2 linked regions of the Elephas maximus indicus genome follow. Each later gene encodes a partner of the first gene's protein in a complex. Links are inferred from orthologs where the notes say so. Each region holds a gene or a part of one and is shown on either strand. Other genes may lie near its edges. The genes, in order: LCK and CD4.

Region 1 (12,140 bases):
ACTCCCAGAAACTTTAATAAAATAGCATACATAAATTACCAAGCTGTAAGTAAGGCTCTATCCTGATAAAGGCTCTGAGGGAAAACACACACGGAGGTACCAAAGGGATGTGTAAAAATGGCGTGGGGACAGCATCTGACCTCCTCTAACTTCACGCGGAGGAAGGAAAATAAAGATCACCAGCCCAAGGCTGATTCCTATGAGGCGGAGGTCAGATACGCCTCCTTTCTCCGCCATCTTTACCAATACTGACACCAACCCTCCCTCCTACAGCACTCTCTACTTCTCTGCTGAGTTTGGTGTTTCATTGCAATGGCCACACAGAATTCACAGACAATACTCACAATTATGGGGTTTCTTAGAGAAGCAATAGGTTACAATTCAGGTTAAGGAACACTCAGGATACAGTTTATCCATCAGAACAGCCTCTTCCCAGCCTTGCCGAAGACATGCCTCTCTCTGGCCCTTCAGCCTTGGCCCTGCTCAGGGGCACGTGTTACAGAGCTTTTTTAGGTCTGTCAATAAGTGCTCTGAGGCACCTCACTCCACCACTAAGCCTCACGGAAGGTGCTCAGCTCTAGCTTCCTGGGTTTGCAAAACTAGCCCCACCAAGTGCCCAGAAGCACTCTACTCCTCCAGCAAGCCTCCTGCCGAAAGGCACTCAGCTTTCTCGCTCTGTGGGCTAGGAAGCCTACTGCGCCATCTCCTGCTGGTCTCGCCTGCTGCTGTTTCTCTGCCACCATATCTCCCTCTTTAGTGTTACAGCTATCTCTTTACCGCCTGGGTTCAGGAGCTTCTCAGCTCCGGGATCCTGGGTCCAAAGGACGTGCTCTCTGCTCCTGGCTATTCTTTCTTGGTGGTGGTGAAATCCTCTCTCTGTTCTGGAACTGGCTCTCTTTTAAAGCAAAACTGACCCATCTCCATGGTGGGCCACAATTGTCTTATTTGCAAAGTCCCACCCAATAAGTCGGGTGGGAGTTACAAGACCATGGCTAGAAACACCACACAAAAATGAGCCATTGTGCCACACGAGGAAACTCACTGAAAGGAATTACTAGGTGCATACACTTTACTAGTTGGGGGACCTCTCTAGGAAAATACCAGCTTTAGCTTAGAATAATTGCTCTGTAGCTCTTCTTCCTCTTTAAATTGTGGCAAATATATATGTAACAAAACACTTGCCACTTCAACATCTTTAACCTGTACAATTCAGTGAGTTCAGCCATCACTACTATTCATTTCCAAATCTTTCCATCACCCTTAAAAGAAGAAGGGCCCTTCTTTATGGCAATAATTAACTAACAGTCAGTTCTGTGTTCAAGTTATTCCCAGTTTGTGATAATGAATTCATCTGTTTGCATGTAAGAGAAGACTTATCTTTCTGTTCTCTGTGGCAACAGGTCACAAAGTTAATTCAAAAGTGATATTATATCAAAAGGGGGCAGTTCAGTGGTAGAATTCTCACCTTCCATGCTGGAGACACAGTTTCAACTCCTGGTCAGTGCACCTCAGGCACCTTATAGTGTTGCTATGATGCTGAACAGGTTTTGACGGGGCTTCCAGACTAGGATGCACTCGGAAGAAAGGCCTGACAACCTACTTTCAAAAATCAGCCGATGAAAACCTTATGGATCACAAAGATCCAGTCCCATTGTGCATGGGGTCACCATGAGTTGAGGGTCAACTTGATGCCAGCTAACAACAATTGTATCAAAAAGGAACACATGAAAAAGGAGGGAACCCAGGACACATCCCTGTTTTACCCATTAGAAATTATTTACTCTGCCCGCCAACCCTGATTCTTGACTATTATATTTTGACAAGTTTCCGTGTGGGCATTGCCATTGAACAGATGCAACTTAGCCAAAAACCAAATCCTGGTCAGAGACAAAGGCCAAGATTATGTTTTAAATTATTCCTGACAGCTTTTGCCACAAGGTGGCCCTGAGTACAATGGTCTGGAGTGGAATAACCGGCCTGTTCTTGATGAAGAACACTGGACTGAGAAACCCCGGCAAGAAGCTGGGAAGCATTTTGGATGGAATATTCGATAAATGGAAACCCTGGTGGCATAGTGGCTAAGTGCTTTGGCGCTAACCAAGAGGCCGGCAGCTCGAATACACCAGGCACTCCCTGGAAACTCTATGGGGCAGTTCTACTCTGTCCTATAGGGCCGCTGTGAGTCAGAATCGACTCGATGGCAGTGTGTTTGGTTTTTGGTTTGGTTCAATAAATGAATAGGTCTATGGTTTAGGAGAAGGAAAGTACTGCCCTTTTTGAAAAAATGGACAAGAACACGTTCTGAGCCCACCCAAAGAAGATAATGTTGGTGGAGTTGATAAAAGTGAACAAGTTGTCAAGAATCAGAACTCACTGTGATATGGTTCTAAAACACTCTGGGATCACAAAACCCAGTCCAGGAGCTTTCTGCAGCCTGGAATTTTTGATCAATTGTATACAGTATATATAAGGAGCCCTGGTGTTGCAAATGGTTAAATGCTTGGCTGCTAATGGAAAGGCTGGCAGCAGTTCAAGCCTACCTCATGGCGCTGTGAGAGAAAGACCTGTCGATCTGCTCCTGTAGAGACTGCAGCCAAGAAAACAATATGGGGGCAGTTCTACTCTGTCACATGGGGTCACTATGAGTCAAAATCAACTCAATGGCACCTAACAACAACAACATACATATATGACATGAGCAGGGCCACTGGGTATGTTGAGCAGGTTGGGAATTGTGTTGAGAAGCAAAAAGTGGTGGGAGGGGGGAGGCTGAAACCTAGCCCTCAGTCCACTCTCTAAGTTTGCAGCCCGTGGGAGGGGTGACATTTTTATAGTTTGCACAAAGTGCTGTATAGACCATGGGCAAACTTGAGTTTCACTGAGAGCATTACAGGCCCCAGTCAGAGGTGATATAAACCCAAAAAAACCAAACCCAGTGCCGTCGAGTCAATTCCGACTCATAGCAACCCTATAGGACAGAGTAGAACTGCCCCATAGAGTTTCCAAGGAGCGCCTGGCGGATTTGAACTGCCGACCCTTTGGTTAGCAGCTGTACCACTTAACCACTACGCCACCAGGGTTTCCAGAGGTGATATAGGATCTATGAAATTTCTACTCTTGACCTTGGATTCCTGAGCTGGGAGAAGAGAATGTCCTGTTTCATTCACCCCACTATCTGTCCTTATTGCCGGTTCTTATTCTTATTGCCAGCAGCTCCTTGAATCTACTGTTTGTTGCTTTTCTCTTTTTCTTCCTTTTTTCAGATAATGAGAAATTTTTATTGACCTGGTTTTACTAACCTGGTTATATCATTTTGGCTACCCAGCAGGCTTTGTCAAGCTGAGACTGGGAGGATGGGACCTATATTTTGTAAAACTAGGTGAATGCATATATGATCTTACAATTACGTGGGGATACCAGCAAGCTATAAATACTCCCATTCTGTTAGATGTCCATCTGTGCATGCGGATTCATACAAATGCACAGGTGTGCACACATAAGCATGACACTCACTAAATCTTATGCCTCCATGTGCACAGACTCACCTACACTGAGTCAGGTAAATGTACACTCAGAAATGTGTATTCTAAGCAGAGGGAAAAATTGTCTTGAAGAGAAAGGTCTTTGTTAATAGCACAATGATCAAGTACTTGATGAAGAGTAAACCCACTGTCACACCTGTCCTCCCACCCAACTGCTCTCTGCATGACCACTAACGATTCTTGCCCCCCACCTGCTTTCTCTATGATCTCTCAAGATCCCCCCACATTCTTTAGATCTCCCAGGGAGCGAGGAGCAGAGGAGGGTCCATTGATAAGGAATGTAGGGGCCTGATTTGAGTTTTGCCTCTGCCAAGACCCCTCGGTGTGCTGTTGAGAAAATCACTTACCCTCTTTGATTCCCCAGCTTCTCCATCTTTAAAACGAGGCCGGTGGATTTCCTCAGTGGTTCCCAAACTTTTCCCTCCCAAGGACTCCTTTGCCACCTCCCACCCCCCTCCATGGATCTCATGATTTTAAACATTTTCCCTAACAAACTACGTTGTTTAGGCACTAATTTTCTTATTTTTCTACTTCAAAATTTGATCAGAGACTTAACTAAGTATGCAATGAGGGAACAATAACTAGTAGTAGTATAATTTCCATGTAGATTTTTGAAATTTTAAAATACCCTGAAGGTATTCAACACTATTTTCTTCTGGGAGCATGCAAACACTAGGTTGGGAACCACCAAACTCATCTCTGATGACGGAAAGATTTGGGAATGGGTATGGGTAGTGGTTGAATAACATGGTGAACATAATTACTGTCACTGACCTAACTACCCACGTGATGATTGACGAAATGGCAAATGTTTTGTTACATACATATTTACCATTAAAAAAGTTACCTTATAATTTCTCTTATTGTCAAATTCTGGGGTCTCCTGGTTGCTGCCAGGCTCTTCACGCTAATGCTCACACACTTGTAGAAGGCAAGATGTGCTTCCTTCAGTTGAAGGGCTCCAGGAGCACAAAATAAGCCATAGGGAAAGCAGTCAGGGTCAGAGTTACAGAGTTCCTCTTGGTTTAATTTAACAGAGCCTGGCCTTTTCTCACTCTCCTTAGGGATGTGAGGTCCTTTCCGGTGGGCCCAGATTCTGTCCAGGCTCTAGGTCCTCCTGCAGGCTCTCTTGGACCTCACCCCAAGGCCCGTGGCTCCTTTTCCCTTCCTACCTGACCCCAGCCTGCACCGGGTGCCATCTAGTCCCTTGATCTCCAGCCTGGGTTCCTTCTGCCCTTCTAGCTGCCTCTCCTCACCACTGCATCCCAGGACTTTCACAGGCTCTTGGTCTTGGCCCAGTTCATCCCCCGTCTCAAGCCCATTGTTTTCCCATTGTTCTCTTGCCCTTTTCCAGAGCCTCCCAGAATGTTAAGCCTGGGAGGAACTTTATTGATCTAAGTCCATAATTCATCTGATGTTGGGATTTTCTCTACTACAGGACCAACCTGTGGTTTCCCAGTATCACAAGCCATAGGATGCTTGCTATCTTACTAGATAGCTCAGTTCTTCTTAGGCTACTTCCAAGTCTCTATTGCTCCTTTCCTGGAGGCATTTGCTGCTAATTAGTTCCTGGCCATAATAAAATCAGCAAATCAGAAAGCCATTTGCAGCCACAGATGGGTGGACTCTGGCCTAGAAGGACTTCTCAAATGAACCCCCGCCCCCCCCCACAAAGGACTCCTAACAGTGGGAGGAAGAGTAGATATGTATTCTTTTCCTTTAAGACTCTTGATTTGGCTTAAAATTTCATGTCATTTTGCATTTGTTCCATAATAGGTCTATGTTTATTTAGCTATATGAATAAATTCAGGAACCACTGGCACTCTGGGAAGATGCACACCCATGACATCTGATATCCATGGGGGGTCAGGAGTATGTCAGTTTAAGAAACATGAGCAGCAAAGAGGATTATTTACCAGTCCCATTCCCCTACCCTACAAAGCAGGGGCTGGTAGGACAGAATGGGCCCTGGTGGAGAGCGGGGAGGTCTTTCGAAGTTCTAAACTAAGCTAACATTAACATAAGCTTAAATTTTTTTTTTTTATGAGAAAAGACTGATGATACCCATTTGACAGAAGAGGAAAAGTGAGGCTTTGGAAGAATGATTTCCGCAAGGTCACACAGTGTTAGAATCGGGATTTGAACTTAGTTCTCTCTGGCTCCTGGATCTGTGCTCTGACTCTTGTTAACCAGAAAACCCCATTGCTCCTCATCCCCACCTGGTCCCAGCATGGGTCTTGGTTTATTAATCTAAAATCAAAGGTTAGACCTGGTTGTTTCTAAGACTTGTGCAGATAGAAGAATTGGTGCATTAAACCTCCTCATATCATTCAAAATTTAAAATAGCAACTGGTTCTGGGTGCCTGGGGCATTAAGGCAAATAAAGCGCAGCTTCTGCTCTTGATGAACCTGGAGTCTGGGGATGGTGGGACGTGGTGGAACTAACACATAAATCAGTCATCATGGCACTCAGCGCTGAGGTTGATGATTGGGGCCTGAGCAGAATGTTGTAGGAACTAGGAGTGAAAGGGTAGCAAAGATTATTGGGAAGGCTTCATAGAGAAGGTGATATTTGAGCTGAAACTTGAAGGCTGAGTTAGAGTTCAGCCGATGAACAAAATAGAGCATTCCACGACAGGAGGACCACATGTGCAAAGCCGTGCAGTAAGAAAACAGTGCGGGGTGTTTAGGAAAGGCAAGAGGGGTTCAGACACAGGGTGCGTGAGCGTGTGTGGCTGTTTATGTGTGTGTGTGTAGCAAAATAGACTGAGGAGGTGGATTTGGTCTTGATATTGTGCCATGGCAAATTAGACTTTGTCTGAAGACTAGTGCTTTCCACACAGCTGTGAGGGGCAGCCCTAGGGAAAGAGGTGCTTCAGGGACTCTGGGGGCTTCAGGGTGAGGTGCCACTCTGCTTCAGACAGAGCAATTCCACTTTTACCTACTTTATTTACAGAGCTCTGCCTGACTTCACCTGACAAAAAGGTTGCACTGCTAAGACAAAAAAAAAGTTATGGCCAACAGGGCCACTGGAGGGTTATGCTGGGGGGAGGTAAGACCCTGTTGGAAGAAACCCTCTGAAGGAGGCTTTGTGTATGGCGGAGGGCTCTAATGCCTGACCTTTGGGGACAGGTGTCTCTGACCCAGCTTCCTAGGCTGGAGAGGGATTGTAATTAAGAGATAGGGCCTGTACACCTCTCTGGGAGGGGAGGATCTGATAAAAATTTAGGTCTTCCACAGGGCTTGGGTAAATATGTATGTGTGTTCTCTGGGAGGGAGTCCCCCAACGTGGGGGACAGGCAGAGGGAAAGAGAGAGGGGAGAGGCAGGAAGTGGGCAACTCAACTAAGAAAGGTATCTGTGGCAGTTTGCCCATCCCAGGTGGGAGGGCGGGGCCTAGGGCTTTATGTGACTTTGTTTGTGGCCCTGGAGCTCCAAGAGAGCACCAGTCAGGAGTTAGGGCCCACCATTTCAGATTTTCTGTGGCTGGTGAATGGGGGGGGGGGGGGGGTTGACAACCTCGCCCTAGGATGTCTGGTATTGGGGCTGCAGGTCTTGCGTGAAGTCCCTTCACTCCCCTTTCCATTCCCCCAGGGACCATGGGCTGCAGCTGCAGCTCGAATCCTGAAGATGACTGGATGGAAAACATCGATGTGTGTGAGAACTGCCATTACCCCATAGTCCCACTGGATAGCAAAGCCATGGTAAGAGGCAAGAGAGTGGACTTGGTGAGGGAATTAGGTGAAGTGCAGGGCCCAGGGACACTCAGGAGAAAGAATGGACCACAACTACAGGTCCCTGAAATAACACAGTTGACCATCTACCCCGGTATACAGAAAAGAGAGGCCCAGAGAGGGGAAGGGAATCTCCCAAAGTCACACAGCAAATAGCTGACAAAGTTAGTGATAAGACCCAGCCTCTTGCTCTCTAACCCCACCCTCATCCTCCACCCCACAGCTACCCATGCGGAATGGCTCTGATGTGCGGGACCCACTGGTCACCTACGAGGGCTCCATCCCTCCGGCCTCACCACTGCAAGGTGACCCCAACCAGCAGGGCCTGGAAGATGAGGCCTGTGGATCCTTGGCTGTCTGCCTTCATCTCCTCCGAACCCTCTACCCTTTTCGGCCCCTCCTGCCCCCAGTCCTGTCTCTGGCCCTATAACTCCCGACCTCCATGCTCCCAGCCTACCCCAGGCCGGTTCGCCCTGACGCCCCCTATCTTTACAGACAACCTGGTTATCGCCCTGCACAACTATGAGCCCTCTCACGACGGAGACCTGGGGTTCGAGAAGGGCGAACAGCTCCGCATCTTGGAGCAGTTGAGTGCCCTCTTCATCCCATCCACCACAGTCCTAGTGGGGTCTGTGAGGGAGGGGGCTGTTGGTCTAAGACCCCCATCCTCAGAGTTACCCGGTACCTCCAGCTACACCCTGAGGTCCTGATTGGCTGGGGGGGGGGGCCCTTGGAACAAACGGGAAGCTCTAGAGTGCTGAGCTGTGGGGAGGGAGACCTGGTGGAGCTGAGGACTCAAAGGAAGGGTCTCCTGCTCAGTCGAGGGCTGGGCAGGCCGCGCTGACCATCGCTGTGGTGCAGGAGCGGCGAGTGGTGGAAGGCACAGTCTCTGACCACGGGCCAGGAAGGCTTCATCCCCTTCAACTTCGTGGCCAAAGCAAACAGCCTGGAGCCCGAACCGTGAGTGGGGGCTTGTCGTGGGGATGGGCGGGAACACATGTGGCGACCCCAGAGTGGGTGCTCGGAGTCGTGGTGACTGGTTGAGGGGGACGGAAGAAGAAGGGACTAACAGACGACAGCCGTCGTTTCTGCCCTGCTCAGCTGGTTCTTCAAGAACCTGAGCCGCAAGGACGCGGAGCGGCAGCTGCTGGCGCCCGGCAACACGCACGGCTCCTTCCTGATCCGGGAGAGCGAGAGCACAGTGGGTGAGCGGTTGGGGGGGCCACAGCCGGGGCGGGGCCGCGGGGGCGGGACCTCAGGCTGGGGGCCTCCCAGTGGGCGGGGTCGCGGGCTGGCAAGGCAGGGCAGTGAGGCGGCATGGTGCCACCTGGGTGAGCCCGAGCAGAAGGGCATGGGTGGCGTGCGCGGCTCGGGGAAGGCGACCCCGCCCTCTTTTGCATTCTTTTGTTCATTCATTCATTCATTCGTTCAGGATCGTTCTCACTGTCGGTCCGGGACTTTGACCAGAACCAGGGAGAGGTGGTGAAACATTACAAGATCCGTAACCTGGACAACGGCGGCTTCTACATCTCCCCACGCATCACTTTCCCCGGCCTGCATGAACTGGTCCGCCATTACACCAGTGAGCAACTCCAGGACTCCCTCAGATTTGCCCCAGGCCCCTTCTCCTCTGCCGTACCAGCCTGCCCCCTCCCCCCAGTTTCTCTCAGAGTTACCCTCCCCCCATTTCTGAGCGTGCTCCTTCATTTCCCCCAGTGGGTGGGGCGGGGTCTCCGACCCTACAGTCCCAGGTGTCGGGTGACAGCCCCACACCGCCCTGCCAGTCCGTTTCTCCTACACCGGGACTCGGTGAGGTGGGCGCTGGGTGGGGTGACCCAAGGCCTGCCTTCACACTTCTCCCGTGTCCCCGCAGATGCTCCGGACGGGTTGTGCACGCGGTTGAGTCGCCCTTGCCAGACCCAGAAGCCCCAGAAACCGTGGTGGGAGGACGAGTGGGAGGTTCCCAGGGAGACGCTGAAGTTGGTGGAGCGGCTAGGGGCTGGCCAGTTCGGGGAGGTGTGGATGGGTGAGTGTGGCCCTCCAGGGTTGCCGGGGAAGGAGGGAGGGGAGGCGTCCGCAGAAAGCTCTGAGTACAGGTGCACTGGCAGCGGGTGACTCCCCCAACCCCTTCTCCCTCAGGGTACTATAACGGGCACACGAAAGTGGCAGTGAAGAGCCTGAAGCAGGGCAGCATGTCTCCCGACGCCTTTCTGGCCGAGGCCAATCTCATGAAGCAGCTGCAACACCAGCGGCTGGTCCGGCTCTATGCCGTGGTCACCCAAGAGCCCATCTACATCATCACGGAATACATGGAGAACGGTGCGCTCCAGGCGCCGCGGTCCCCTGCGCCCCTCCTGGAGGGTGGGGTTCTGCATTGTCCTCTGGCTCAGCATAAAGGGTTTCTAGATGGGCTTCCTGGGCCGCTGAAGGCGCACCGCCAAGGACTAGAACCGGACATATTATCTGGGGGCCCAGTCTACGGTGGCAGAGCCTGGAAGAGCATTCGCCTCGATCTTCCCTTACCTGCAGTCTCCTTTGCTTTCTTCAAAACCCTGTCTTGATCTCAGGATGCTAGATCTCAGGAGTTGAATGGGCCCCTAGGTTCTTTTCTCCCCTTTTTGTCCTTCCTGACCCTTGGGAGGACAGATCTGTCCCAGCCCATTGCTGTCGAGTGGTTTGGAAATCATAGTGACCCTATAGGACAGAGTAGAACTGCCCCACAGGATTTCCAAGGCTGTAATCTTTATGGAGAAGGTATGGAGAAGGAGCCCTGCTGGCAGAGTGGCTAAGTGCTTGGCTGCTAACCGAATGGTCAGCAGTTTGAACCCAGCAGGCACTCCACAGGCAAAGGATGTGGCAGTCTGCCTGGGTAAAGATTTACAGCCTTGGAAACCCTATGGGGCAATTCCACTCTGTCGTACAGGGTTGCTATGGGTCAGAGTCGACTCAGCCTCAATGGCAATTTTTACCAAAGCAGAGTGCTACACCTTTCTCCCGTGAAGCGGCTGGTGAGCTCCTACTGCTGACCTTTCTGTTTTGTTTTGTTTTCTGTTAGCAGCCAGGCACTTAACCCCTGTACCACCAGGGTTCCTTAGATCTGCCCCAAGGCCCTTTTTTTCCAGCTGTGGGTGAGTCCTTTCCCCCTCCCCCTCCCCTGGAAGGTGTTGCTGTAGGGGCTGTACTATTAGACAGAGAGCCCGGAAAGGCAGAGACTGAGTTTCTAAGCTCCACTTTGACACTGATTTGCTGTGTGACCCAGGCTAAGTCCCCATAGCACCTCCGGTCCTCAGTTTCCCTAAAGACGTTGTGTTATTAGTTGTCATCAGTTGATTCTGACTCATGGCAAACCCACGTGTGCAGCTCCTGCTTTAACAGCAGAAAATCTAAATGAGCTCACCCAGAAAGAATATAGTCATTAAGGGCTCTAGAGTCTGACTGCCTGGATTAGAATCCTGTCTTCATGGTTGTGTGGTTGTAAAAATGGCATGGGGGTGGCGTCTGACCTCCTCCTCTAACTTCGTAAGGAAAGAGGAGAATCACCATCAGCATCAGCCCGAGGCTGATTCCTATGAGATGAAGGTCAGACATACCTCTACCCTCCAACCTTTTCACCAATTGTGACACCAGCTACCCCTCCCACAGCACGCTCTACTTCTCTGATGGGTTCGATAATTTGTTGCAATGGCCACACAAAACTCATAGATCATACTCAGAGTTTTGGCATTTATTAGGGAAGTAACAGGTTAAAATTCAGGATCAGGGATAACTCAAGATATAGTTCTTCAGTTAGGACAGCTTCTCGGCCATGCGCACAAGTAGGCCTCTACCTGGTTCTTGGCCTCTCGGCCTCTCAAACCTCTTGGGCTGGCCCAGCCTCTGGCCTGGTCAGGCAAGTGTTACAAAGCTCTTTAGCTCCACCAATAAGTGTCCAGAGGCACCCTACTCTGCCAGTAAACCTGGGCCCAAAGGTGCCCAGCTTTCTCATTCTGTGGGCCATGCAGCCAGCTGCACCATCTCCTGCTGGTCTCCTGGTGCCTCTGCTGCCACTATTTCTCTGCCACTGCTTCTCGGTGTCTTGCGCCATCTCCGGTGTTACAGCTGTTTCCTGGGTCTAGGAGGTTCTCAGTGCAGGGATCCTGGGTCCAAAGGATGCACTCCACTCCCAGCTCTTCTTTCTTCATGGTAGTGAGGTCCTCCCTTTCTGCCTCTGGAATGGCTTGTTTTAAGCCTAGTGGGACAGCAAAACTGACCTTATTTACATGGCTCCACCCACACAAGGGTGGTGTGCACCATTATTAGCAAGCTGTCCAATCTCCCTGGTGGGCCACAAGCACTTTTTGCATAGTCCCACTCAGTCATTCCGTGAGAGTTACAAGGCTATGGTGAGAAAGGCCATATAAAAGTGATCAATTGCACTACAGTGGTCTTGGACTAATCACTTACCTTCTCTCTGCCTTGGTTTTCTCATCTGTAAAATGGTGATAATAATGGAATAGTAACTTCCTCATAGGGTCTTTGTGAGGATGAAAGTTAGAACAGTGCCTGCCATATGTTAGCTACATCATACATTTGTTGTTTTTATCTAGTTCTGATTCTTTGGAAATACATTATCTGTCCCTCTTTCAGGAAGGGAAAAAGGTAATTGGCTAATAGATTCTAGACATGGCAAGTAGGTTTCATTATAGGTGCCAACTTTGATTGGTTGGTAGTTGCTTGGAGAGCTGGGTTGAGAAGGATTCTGAAGCTCACTGGAGTGAGTACTGTGATTAGCAACATTTGTCACAGACACAATAGAGGAATGGCTGTATATATCCACATATTTGCTGCCTCTGGGTGAGGCCTTTGTTTTTGGTGACTAATTTAGC
Region 2 (12,564 bases), on another chromosome or scaffold:
CCAGAATTGACTTGATGACAATAGTTTTTTTTTTTTAATGACTAATAATGTTAAGCAATGGGTTTTGGTTTATTAATAAAGAAGAAGAGAAAACAGATCTGGAAACAACTAAAGGTCTGTGCAAAGAGATAGCTAAGATCTGTAGAATGAATAAAAATTATCAAGATCAATAGTTCTCAAAGCGTGGTCTGTGGACCCCCGGGGATCCCTGAGACACTTTTGTAGAGTCTGTGAGGTCAAAACTATTTTCATAAAAATAATAGGATGTTATCTGCCTTTGACACTATTTTGACATTTGCATTGACATTGCAAAAGCAATCTGGATAAAACTGTTGCCTTGCCATAAATCAAGGTAGTGGCACCAAACTGTGCTAACATTCATTGTGTTCTTCACTGCCAGGCACTTGCAGTCAAAAAAAAAAAAAAAAAAATTAGCAACAGGTTCACTTAAGAGTGCCCTTGATGAGGCAGTAAGTGTTAATTTTATTAAATCTCAATTCTTGAGCACACTGTGTAATGAAATAAGAAATAGCATAAAGAACTGCTGCAAATGAAGTATAATGGTTATCTCCAGTGGAAACACTTGTGTAGTTGTTGGAGTTGCAAGCTGAACTAGCCACTTTTTTTTTTTTCCAAGGGAAAACTACAGTTCCTTGTAAGGACAACTGACAAACTACAGTTTTTCAGACTTGACTATTTGGCGGACAGTTTCTTGATAATGAACAAAATGTAGCTTCAAGGAAAACAACTGACAGTATTTGTGGCCAATGGCAAAATTTGAGATTTCAAGTGAAAATAAGAATTTTGGAAAACTTCTCTGTCACCCATGTGATGCCATCCCAATACTTAAAGACTTTTCTGATGGACTTGGTGGCAATTTAAACTAATATATAGATTTTTTTTTTTTTTTGTAGTTTAATGAAATGTATCAACTTTTGGAAGATCTGCATCATTCAGTGAACCGATACTTTCCAAGTGGCCAATGATGTCATAAAATCATATGTGCGTAAAAGCTGTATTCAAAGTACAAGATAGATCAGAGGATTTTAATGTAACAGAGTACAAAAAGTTAGCTGATATGGTTTCAGGTTACACATTGTAGTGGAATTCCACACTGCAGTTAAGAAACTACCACTTATTGAATTTTAGTGTACTATTTTTTATTAGAATATCTGGGAACCCTGGTGGCCTAGTGGTTAAGTGCTATGGCTTCTAACCAAGAGGTCGGCAGTTTGAATCCACCAGGCACTCCTTGGAAACACTATGGGGCGGTTCTACTCTGTCCTACAGGGATGCTATGAGTCGGAATCCACTCTATGGCAGTGGTTTTTTTTTGTTTTGTTTTATTAGAATATCTGGAAACCCTGGTGGAGTAGTGACTAAGAGCTACAGCTGCTAACCAAAGGCTGGCAATTCAAAACCACCAGGAGCTCCTTGGGAATCATGTGAGGTAGTTCTACAATGTCCTGTAGGGTCACTATGAGTCAGAATTGACTGGACGGCAATGGGTTTGGTTTTTTGGGGGGGGGCGGGTATTAGAGTATTCTGGAGCCCTGGTGGTTAAGAGCTACAGCTGCTAACTAAAAGGTCAGGATGTTCAAATCCACCAGCTGCTCCTTGGAAACCTATGGGTTAGTTCTACTCTGTCCTATAGACTGACTATGAGTTGGTATTGACTCTATGGCAATGGGTATTAGAGTGCCCACAATGATCAAAAAAGCCTTCAAAATGATCTTCCCTCTTCCAACTACATACCTGTGTAGAGCCAGATATTCTTCATATACTTCAACCAAAGAAACATATTACAAAAGATTGAATGCCGAAGCAAAAATGAGAATATGAGAATCCAATTATCTTCTACTAAGCCAGAAATTAAAGAGTTTGCAAAAATGAAAAACAACACTATTCTTCTCACTCAATTTTTTTCTTTTTGGAAAATACAGCTATTTTCATAAAAAATATTTTATTTATGTCAATTTATAATGGATTTAAAGGAATCTTGGTGGTGCAATGGTTAAGCATTTGGCTGCTAACCAAAAGGTCTACAATTCAAACCCACCAGTGGCTCTGCCAGAGAAAAGACCTGGCAATCTGCTGTCATTAAGAATACCATCTAGGAAACAATATGGGGCCGTTCTACACTGACTTATAGGGTTGCTACAGGTTGGAATCAACTTGGATTTATTATTATTTTCAAATAAATTAACAAATACAAATTTGAAAACTTTTCCAGTCTTAATTTCTAATAAAAAAGCCTCTTGGCTTTCAGTCAGAATCAACTGGATGGCAATTAACAACAACAAAGGAGGTTCAAACAAAAGAGGAACAAATTTTGAAAACCACTATTCTAGACAAAGGGATAGAGAGGAGGGTAGAGGAATAGCTTACCAAGCAGAGAAATAGTTTGTGCGGAGACTCCAGGGTAGGAAAGGAGTTAGTACCTTTGAGGAACTGAAAGAAGACCAGAGTGGCCAGAGTATAAGCGAGTTGAAGAGTGGCTGGTACGGGATGCAGCTGGTGAGGGACAAAGGTACCAGCTCACACAGGGCCCTAGGGCGGGTTGAGTTTATGGCTTTATCCTAAAGAAATGGGAAACCACTGAATGTTTCATTTATTAATTTTTACCTTTACCAAAAAAAATGATTTATTTGGCAATACATGCACATTGTTCCTGTCGTGGATTGAACTGTGTCACCCGAAAATATCTGTCAACTTGGCTAGGCCATGATTCCTAGTATTGTATGATTGTCCACCATTTTGTCACCTGATGTGATTATCCTATGGTGTTAATGAGGCAGGATTAGAGGCAGTTATGTTAATGATGCAAGACTCAATCTACAAGATTCGGTTGTGTCTTAAGCCAACCCCATTTGAGATATAAAAGAGAGAAGCGAATAGAGAGACATGGGGACCTCATACCATCAAGAAACAAGAGCCAGGAGAATAGTGCGTTCTTTGGACCTGGGGTCCTTGAGCTGAGAAACTCCTCAAGCTGAGATTGATGACAAGGAACTTCCCCCAGAGCCAACAGAGAGAGAAAGTCTTCTCCTGGAGCTGGCACCTTGAGGTTGGACTTCTATCCTACTAGACTGTCAGAGAGCACATTTCTCTTTGTTAAAGCCATCCACTTGTGGCATTTCTGTTGTAGCAAACCAAAACCCAAATCCATTGCCGTTGAGTCTATTCTGACCGTATGGGACAGAGTAGAACTGCCCCATAGGGTTTCCAAGGAGTAGGTGGTAAATTTGAACTGCCAACCTTTTGGTTAGCAGCCGAGCTCTTAACCACTGTGCCACCAGGGCTCCTCAGTCAAAGATGAGACAGGCGCATAAAACAAAGGGAGACTAAATAGGTACACCAATCCAGGGGCAAGGAAGAGAAAGCAGAAGGGGCAGGAAAGCTGATAATGGGGAACCCAAGGTTGAGAAGGGGAGAGTGTTGACATGACATGGGGTCGACGACCAATATCACCAAATAATATGTGTATGAATTGTTTAATGAGAAACTCATTTGTTCTATAAACCTTCATCTAAAGCACATTAAAAAAAAAAACCTCACTGCCCCCTAAAATGCCTACCTAATCTTTTGAGTTGTTGTCAGTTTGATCCCATATAGACAGTTCTTAAAAGAGCATAATGCTCAGGGCAGAGCTTTTTAACCACTTTAGCTAAACTATTGCTTGCTTTCAAGATGACTTTAAGGGACATTTTCAGTTTATGGTTTAAGGATTATGTTAGGGCAATATTTTCACCCTCCATGGCTCCAGAAAGTTAAGAATTCATGAGAATTTGAAATTCTGTTCTGCATTTTCCCGGTTTGGCATTTTTTTTTGAACACGTGGGAGCAAGCACTTATATTTTTCATTAATGATCTTTCTTGGAGATCATTCCACATAAGTATTAAAAGAGCTTTTCGTATTTTAAAATGACTGCATCATAATTACAGCCCTGGTGGCACAGTGATTAAGAGCTGGGCTGCAAATCGAAAGGTCAGCAGTTTGAATCCACCCGCCGCTCCTTGGAAACCCTATGGGGCAGTTCTACTCTGTCCTACAGGGTTGCTATAATTGGACATCAACTCCACAGCAAAGGATTTTGGGCATCATATTCTATGGTATGGATCCACCATAATTTATTTTACTAGCTGTGGTGTCACTAGGGCTGGTATCACCCAGCAAGGCAACTCAGGGTGTCACCCTGCCCGCCCATGGGTGGGGTGGAGTGGCCCAGCCTGCTCAACCCCCCACACAGGGCCAAGAGCTGCATTGCCCACTCCGCCTGCCCCAGCCCTGCCTCCCAGGGCTCCCCCAGCTCCTCCTCTCTTTCACTGGCCAAAGCGGAGACGCTCCTCTCTGCCCAGTGGGGGGTGTCCAGATGACTGGTAGGGAGGAGGAGGGATGAGGACGGGGGGGTGAGGAATGGCGAGTTACCTCACTGGGTAACTGGTGGCACCAACCCTACTGATTCTACTGCCTTCGTGGCCCCTCCTCTGGCAGCGCTGGCCTGCCCACAGCCACTGACAGACTGTGGAGTCATTTTGGTGGCACTCACTCTGACAGTGTCACCACCACTGTTAGCTAGTCTCCTCTTAAGAAGCCCTGGTGGGGCAACGATTAAGTGTTTGGCTGTTAACTGAAAAGCTGGCTATTAAAACCCACCCAGCAGCTCCAGGGAGAAAGACCTGGGGATCTGCTTCCATAAAGATTACAGCCTAGAAAACCCTATGGGACAGTTTTACTCTGTCCCATGGAGTGGCTATGAGTAAAAATCAGCTTGACAACACCTAAAAACAACAACAGTCCCCTCTTGATTAGGTTGTTTCTAATCTATTGCCACTATGAACAATGCTGCAATGAAAGTACTTGTTGATATGACATTTCGCACATGGAAAAGAACATCTGTAACGCGAATTCCTGGATCTAGGAATGCTGGCATTGTAACCAAAAAGGTTAGACCACTCCCCCTCCATCCATCACACTCCTGGTCTGTGGTCAACTAGCTCCCAATAAGCCATCCTGTGTAGCAGCCCAAGGCCACTTCACCTCTCCCCTTCCAGTTGGGCATGCCCAATAAGCCGAAAAGCTGTCCTTAGATGAACTTCATGTACCACACCCTGAAAAACACACCCCCTAGCCACCATGACACAGCACCCCCACATATGTTAATTAGTTTCTGGAATTGCCCACCTAGCCTAAGAAGCTTGATGAGTTATGTATAATTTCACAATTCCAATTCCATTAACTACCCTAGAATTTCCAACCATGAGGAACTTGGTTTGAGACTTAGTCTCTGAGCTCCTTGCTTGACCAGCTTACGGTAAAGGTCACTTTCTCCTCCTCAAAGGCCTAGTGTTTCTCAATTGACTGGAGGGCGAAACCCACCTTCATCAGGTCATAGGGTCAAAGATATGTGCATATCATATTTTTACATATATAGCCAAATGGCTGCCATAGAGGTTGTGTCAATTTACATTCTGGCAGCAATGTGTCAGTTATGAAGGGTTTTAGCAGAGAAATGACAAGGTCACACATTTTTAAAAGGTCACTCAGGCTACTGTGAGAACGATGGGTTGGAGGAAGGCAGAATTGGAGAGTCCAGGGGACCAGTGAGGAGGCAGGAGCTGTAGTCCAGGCAAAGGATGATGGTGGCACCTTGGATTGGAATGGTGGCAGTGGGGCAGAGTAACCTGGATAGATTTCAGAGCTATTTAGAAGATAAGGTCCACCAAAACAAAACAAAAACCTGTTGCTGTCGAGTCAATTCTGTTACATGTGTTACAGATAGAATTGCTCCATAGCGTTTTCTTCACTGGTATCTTTATAGAAGCAGATTGCCAGGTCTTGCTTCTATGGCACCCCTGGGTAGGCTCTAACCCTCAACCTTTAGGTTAGTAGACAAGCACAGACCATTTGCACCACCCAGGGACCTTAGTCCACAGGCACTAGTACATAAATGCACGGTAAGGGTTGGATAAAGGAGTCAAGGATTATACCCAATTTATTTGGCTTGTTCAACATAGTAGATGAAGCCCTCCCTGAGTGGAAAACTTGAAGCAGAAGTAGGTTTGAAGAGTAGTGGAGTGCTGGATGGTAAGTTTAGTTTGGGATGTTTAGTTGGGTTTGCTATGTCTGATGAATATCCAAGTGGAGATGTCCAATGGGCAGCTGATACGAATGTTTAGAGCTCATGAGAGGTCTGGACGAGAGGCAAACATCTGAGAGTTTACCAGAGACTGAGGTCCAGAGGAAAAAAGTGTGTCCATGATGACTCTGGGCATTCCAGGTATCCTCCTATTCCCAGTCCAGGCCCTTACTGCTACCCAAGTTCATCTATAAGGCCTGTGGTGCAGGTGGCCCTGGAGGCATTCACTGGAAAATTGCCCTTGGAGCCCTAGATCAGGGAGCTATTTTGGGGCTCAACACAACTGCTCTCATATACTCCCCGACCTGCCTCCCACTACTTTCCCTGAAGACCAGGCCAGATGGCACTATCATTGCCACAATCTTTTTCTTGTCACCCAACAGTGGCAGAGACGCTCTGGGCTGTAGCCTGGCCCTACTGAAATTTTTCCCTTGACTTTGGCATTTTCACTTTCACATCTCCCCCAAAAGCCAGGGGGTGGGGACCCCAGCCCCAGAGGGTGACGTGTGGGGCCGGCCCAAGCCTGGGGTGTAGTTACTTCACTACCCAGCTTCCTGTTTCTCTTCATTTGAGCACAGTCTCTCCAGAGGTAACGAAGCCCTCTCTCCACTGGGCTTCAAACCCTTTCACAGATACACTTGTGCAAGAAGCACAGAAGGAAGACACAGACCCAGAGGTAAGATGGATAGACCCAGTTTCATTTTTTTCCTCAGGGCTGGGAAGGGGAGGAGAATGTGGCACAGATGCACCAAAATATGCTGGATTCCCAGTTCTCTGCCCACAGCTCTGACCATTATCTGATTTCTCTCAGGATGGGTCATGTAGTAGCCTCCCACCAGAAATGCGAGCTTCAAGAGGGCAGGGACCCCTCTCTGCATCCCTCACAGCGCACAACTCATTGTCCAAAGCTGCAGGTCCTCCCGGAGGAGAGCTGAGTGGAATTCAAGGGAGAGTAGAAATGAGGCCCTTGAGACTGTCCCGGGCTGAGAAAGGCAGGGGAAGGCAACTAGCCGTAGGGCAGTGGAGGAGATAAAGAATGGGAGATGAGAAATAAGGAGAAAAAGAGGGAAGAAGGGGCTGGGAAAGAAATAGGAAGAATAAATAAATATTAAGGAGAGAGGTGGCCTATGAAAAAGAAATGAACAGAAAAGAGGAGCAAAAAAGGCAAAAGCGAGAAAAAGAGGAGAACCTAGTCTAAAACTTCTCAAGGCAATTCTCCCAAAGTCAATTCTCCAATGACACAACCACCAAAACTTCACACCAAAAGTCATATTTATCATCCTTGTGGCATTCGTAAGCCCCAGAATCGGCGTAGTCTCTTTCAATGATCTCTGTTATGTGTTTTTAAGTTTTCGTCTACTTTTGGGCATTTTTAGGATTTTTATACATATTGTCTAAAGGCACTTACGCTTTAATTAGCTTGAAAATGATTGAAGAAATGGGAAAGCTAAATTGCTCAAAAAGGGTTGAAACCGAGCCCTTGCACACGAAATGCCATAAAAGGGATAGGTACGTCTTTTTAGGTAAATATGTCGTTAGACAAATTGATTCTAGGAGAATTAGTTTTAGATGACTCAGACTGCTCTGGAAGAGGGGGCCGTTGGAATTTGAAAAGGATTTGCAGACCCTCCCTGGGCTTGGTGGTGTGTAGGGGGGAAGCAGGACTCCATGTCCCTCAAGACTGATGCTGTATAGAACTCCAGCCTCCCATCTTCACCCCCAGCCCTTTTGCCTGTCCTGAGATTTCCGTGGCCTTGGAGCCCTGCTGTTCCCAAGTGTCCTCTGCCTTCCCTTCATAGTCTACTCTGGGAGAGGGGCCTCCTGGAGGAGCCTGATACCTCTAAATAGAAAGTCCCTATTCTTGCTAATTCAAGGATCTCACTCTAGGTGGGATAGCACTTCCCGAATGTCCTGTCCTTGTGGGGCCAATTTTTAGAGGCACAGGCCGAGAGTAAAATCTTATGGGGGAAGATCATTGATATTTCACTTTTGACAAATAATTTCTGTGTGAGATTCTGTAGACTCATGCAAAATGGCCGCCCTCTTAACCTCAAACGACAGAGCTCCCAGAGGGCAGAGTTAGAGATACTCAGGAGATGATTCCACTCTTTCAATTTGGGGTACTTATGTAGAAGAGTTCCACCTCTTAATAAAAGCTACCCACCAGTTTTTGTGTAGGGAGCAGAGTTTATTTTAATGGTGGTGGAATAATTTGGAAAAGAATAGTGATAATGGTTGCACGACACGAAGTATGTAATCAATGTCACTGAATTATACATGTAGAAATTGTTGAATTGACAAGAGTTTGGTTGTGTTTGTTTTCACCTAGAAAAAAAAATTCCCCCCCAGTTAGTTCTTGGCAGAGGCCTGGAAGCAGTGCTAGGCTCTGACCCTGGCCGTAATGGTGAGGTGGCGCTGAGGGGATTTGGATAGACCAAGGGTCTTGCACATTTTGACACTCAATAAATGTTTGTTGAATGAAATAACGGTGATGAGGGAGATGGGGCAGGTACCATAGTGCTGGGAAGGGGTAGTTGTCGTCCTGGTTTTTAAGGCTGTAAGGTTGAACGCTGTTCTGTGCTTTTCAGGGGATAGGGGAAGTAGGGAGGGCACAGCTCCCCCCACGTGGGCGTCTGATGCAAAAGAGAGGATGGTGGAGGTTGTAGCCACCGAACCACAAGAGTCTCCTTAGAGGGGTCATGGTCTCTAGGAAGACCACGGTGTCTAGGAAGTTCATACGAAGCCAGTAAGCAGTAGACAAAGGGTGAGTGTGTGTGTGTGCGTGTGTGTGGCTGGGCTTGAGGGGGCTGGTGGGAGCTACGGGAAGAAGATAAAAGTGCCTGTGGGACCACAGACTGTCACTGTGGTGGGGCTGCGCCCTCTTCCTCTTCTCAACCTCAATCCTCATCCCATCCCCAGGGGCCGGGGGTGAGGGTGGCAGGAACTTCAAGGGCTCCCAGTGTGTGTGGCTGTGTGTTGCCATTCTGGTCTTTTCTCTTTCTTGGTCTCTCTTTGTCTCTGTTTTGCTCTGTGCATGTGTGTTGCCTCTCAAAATTTCTTCATTTTGCTCCTTTTTGTACTTCTCAGAGCTTTGTGTGTGATTGTGCGTAGTGTGAAGTGTAGCTGTTGCTCTAATAAGTTTATCCGAGTCTTTCCCTCCCTTCTTCCTTCTCATCCTCCCTTGGGACCTCTGTGTGTATCTCGGGGAATCTGTCCTTTTCCCTTTGTCCACCCATGTCTTTCCACCTCTTGCTTTCACCCTTGTCTCCAGGCCATGCACTGGGGTCCCCTCTGTTTTGCAGATGGAAAGCTCCCTTTAGATCAAAAAACAAAAAACCAGTTGCCTTCCAGTCAATTCCAACTCATAGTCAACGTACAGGACCCTACAGGACAGAGTAGAACTGCCCCACAGAATTTCAAAGGAGCGACAGATGGATTCAAACTGTCCATTTTTTGGTTAGCAGTGGAGTTCTTGACCAGGGCATCACGATCAAAGCTTGTCAAAAGCCTGCATTCCTGCCAGAGGCCAAGATGCCTGCTTACAGAAGGAGGAACTAGAGCTTAGTGGCAGCTGGAGAGGGGAAAGATGAAAAATGAGAAGAGGAAAGGAGGCAAGCAAAACCAGGAGAGCCAGATTCGCCTCCTGGTGTATGAGGCACAGAGGGAGACACAGACATAGGGAGCTGACGATGGAGCAATCAGCTTGGGGAGGCGCAGAAACAGAAATGCACAGATGGGAGCAGAGAAACAAGCACAGAGAGAGAGAAGCACCAGGCTCGCGGGGTGGGGGCGGGCAGCCTCCAAGCCTCTCTCCCGGGGCTGTGGTACACAGGATGCTACTACGCTAAGGGCGGAGCTCGTCCGGGGAGGCTGAGGATGTGGGAATCAAAGGCCAGCTCTCTGGGGCGGCAGCGGAAGCCCAAGTCACCGAAGCAAGCGGCGGGCTTCTTCTGGAAACCCACAGCCTCCGCCGCTGAGCTGAACCCTGGGGCAGTTTGGGGTTGTGCGGGCGATTCGGGGGAGGGAGGTGGGCCTCCACTCAGACGCCAGGTTCAGAATCCCAGAGTGAGGAAGGAAAAAATGACCACCGTTGTAGGTGGGGAGGGAAGGGTCAAGAATGTCCTTAGCCTTCCTCAGGAACGTTACAAGGGTAAGTTAAATTTAAACCCAAGGGAAGAGAGAGCCCATATGGAGGCTTTGTCCCTTCTCTGCCCTCTGCTCACCAAGGACCCAATGAGTCTGGGATGGGGGACAGTGGGATTATTATCAGGTGTAAGGCTATCCCTACCCCACCCTTCTTACCCCCCTAATGCCTCCTGTTCCCTGTACTGACTTGAAAACAACTTCACCCCAGTGACTGACTAGCCTCCTTCCCTCTTTTCCGGAACCCTCCTTCCTGTCCTCCCATTGCAACTCATAGTGACCCTATAGGACAGGGTAGAACTGTCCATAGGGTTTCCAAGGCTATAAATCTTAAGGTAAGCAGACTGCTACGTTTTTTTCCTCCGAAGTGGCTGGTGGGTTCCACTCGTGGGACCTTTCAGCTTGCAGCCCGGTGCTTTAACCACTGTGCCAACAGGGCTCATTTCCTGTCCTCTTCTCTTCCTATTTCCCTGGTTTAAAAAAAAAGTGTGTGTATATATATATATATATATATATAACCAAAAAAAAAACAAACCCACTGCTGTCGAGTCGATTCCGACTCATAGCGACCCTATAGGACAGAGTAGGTCTGCCCCGTAGAGTTTCCAAGGAGCGCATGGCAGATTTGAACTGCTAACCTTTTGGTTAGCAGCCGTAGCACTTAACCACTATGCAACCAGGGTTTCCTAAGAGGAATCACCCCTGGCCCCTAACACATAGTAGGTGTTTGATATATATATCAAGCACCTACTATGTGTTAGGGGCCAGGGGTGATTCCTCTTCCAGGCAGATGGAGTGACTGGAAGGGACCTTTTCTATCTTCCCCAAACCTTATTAGGAAGCCCAGGCCCCCAGCACCTCCTCTGAGTGCTATACCCTTCTTATGGATTTTGCATCAGAGCCGGACAGGAGCCAGAATCCAGCTCAGGTTGTTCAAGAGCCTGTAGAGGGAGGGTTATTTACAGAGGTGAGAACAGGGTTAAGGGAACCAACAAACATGTTAAGGCTCCCAAATACTAATAATAGTAGGAAGGGTCCTGAAGGGGCAAGAGATGGAAATGGTGTTTGCAGACACCAGTGAGAACTTGAACTGTGGATGACGGACCACCCGACAGGAGCCATAGTCTAAGTGGACACAGGCATTGCCAGAAAACATGCCTCAGTATTCTCTCCCCCAGCCCTGCCATCTTTTGCAGGTACTTCTCGTTGGCTAAACTCAACTGATAGCTGGAGGGCAATGCAACATGTGGCAGTCAGGCTTCTTGGCAGGGAGCAGAGTGGGGAAGGGCAGAGAAAAAATAACGGGTTCCTACGAGGATAAGTAGCATGGATTGGGTCACACTTAAATGACCCATTCTAGTGACAGAATGAACATTAAGCATAGAAAAAGGAACCAGCGATTTCCACTTTTATTTGTTGCCTAGGGCTGCCGTAACAAAATACCACATAGTGGGTGGCTTATAAGAACAAAAATTTATTGTTTCACAATTCTGGAAACTAGAAGTCTGATTCATGGTGTTGGTAGCTTAGGGCCATGTTCTCTCTGAAGGCTTTAGCAGAAGATCATTTCTTGTCTCTCTCAGCTTCTGGTAGCCTCAGGTGTTCCTTCACACGTAGATTCATTTTTACATGACAGTCTTTCATCTGTCTGTCTCTGTCTCTCCTCTTTCATAAGGGGTCACTTAGAATGGATCAGGACCCACCCTACTCTGATATGACCTCATGTTAATTTGACTGATAACATCTTCAAAGACTACAGGAAGTCCCTGGATTACAAACAATTTTCATTCCTAAATCTGTCTTTAAGTAGAATTCAACTTAAGTCAGAACAGTTAGGTTTGTATCTAATGTCAGTCAAATGTTTGTCTTAGTATATAGTGTACCTTCCTATGCATAAAAAACATTAAAGAAACACTTCCCAATACACTCAAACATCTTTACCATAATAATACTGTAATAATAATAATGCTTTGATGTGTGTTGCAAAGTAATGCCCTGTATGTTATTACCAACCATCCTATATACCTTCTCCGCAGTTGAAGAGATAACTACAGGGCAAACGTTACCCAAAATACTCAGATTATGTTCTGTAAAATCTTTGAGACCAATTAGATGCTTTATTGTAGATTCTGAACTAAAAAATCTACCTTGTACCACTAGGCTGCATTTCTACTGAGATTTGAACCTTCCTCAGCAGAAGCAGGGAGGGTTGGGGGTGCAGATAGGATGGCCCTGAGGCCAGATGAATCATTCCCCCATCACCTTCTCACCAGACCTGTCA

Evidence for each region.
Region 2: the proteins of LCK (region 1) and CD4 are in contact, whole or in part, in an NMR structure (PDB 1Q68), measured with the Homo sapiens proteins. The link is inferred for Elephas maximus indicus from reciprocal best matches to the Homo sapiens genes LCK and CD4. Residues at the interface, in NP_001036236.1 of Homo sapiens: Glu15, Ile17, Val19, Cys20, Asn22, Cys23, Tyr25, Pro26, Ile27, Val28; in NP_000607.1 of Homo sapiens: Ala429, Arg431, Ile435, Leu438, Leu439, Lys443, Thr444, Cys445, Gln446, Cys447.

What each region holds. Positions count from the first base shown.
Region 1 is NC_064821.1:73,155,851-73,167,990, forward strand, and holds the start of LCK (tyrosine-protein kinase Lck), read left to right. Parts: upstream 1-7,245; intron 7,246-7,498; coding exon of another isoform or gene 7,499-7,511; coding exon 7,512-7,861; intron 7,862-8,136; coding exon 8,137-8,235; intron 8,236-8,376; coding exon 8,377-8,480; intron 8,481-8,707; coding exon 8,708-8,857; intron 8,858-9,148; coding exon 9,149-9,301; intron 9,302-9,414; coding exon 9,415-9,594; intron 9,595-12,140. UniProt on the Homo sapiens protein: Non-receptor tyrosine-protein kinase that plays an essential role in the selection and maturation of developing T-cells in the thymus and in the function of mature T-cells. Plays a key role in T-cell antigen receptor (TCR)-linked signal transduction pathways.
Region 2 is NC_064822.1:63,564,795-63,577,358, forward strand, and holds the start of CD4 (T-cell surface glycoprotein CD4), read left to right. Parts: upstream 1-6,720; 5' UTR 6,721-6,816; intron 6,817-12,564. UniProt on the Homo sapiens protein: Integral membrane glycoprotein that plays an essential role in the immune response and serves multiple functions in responses against both external and internal offenses.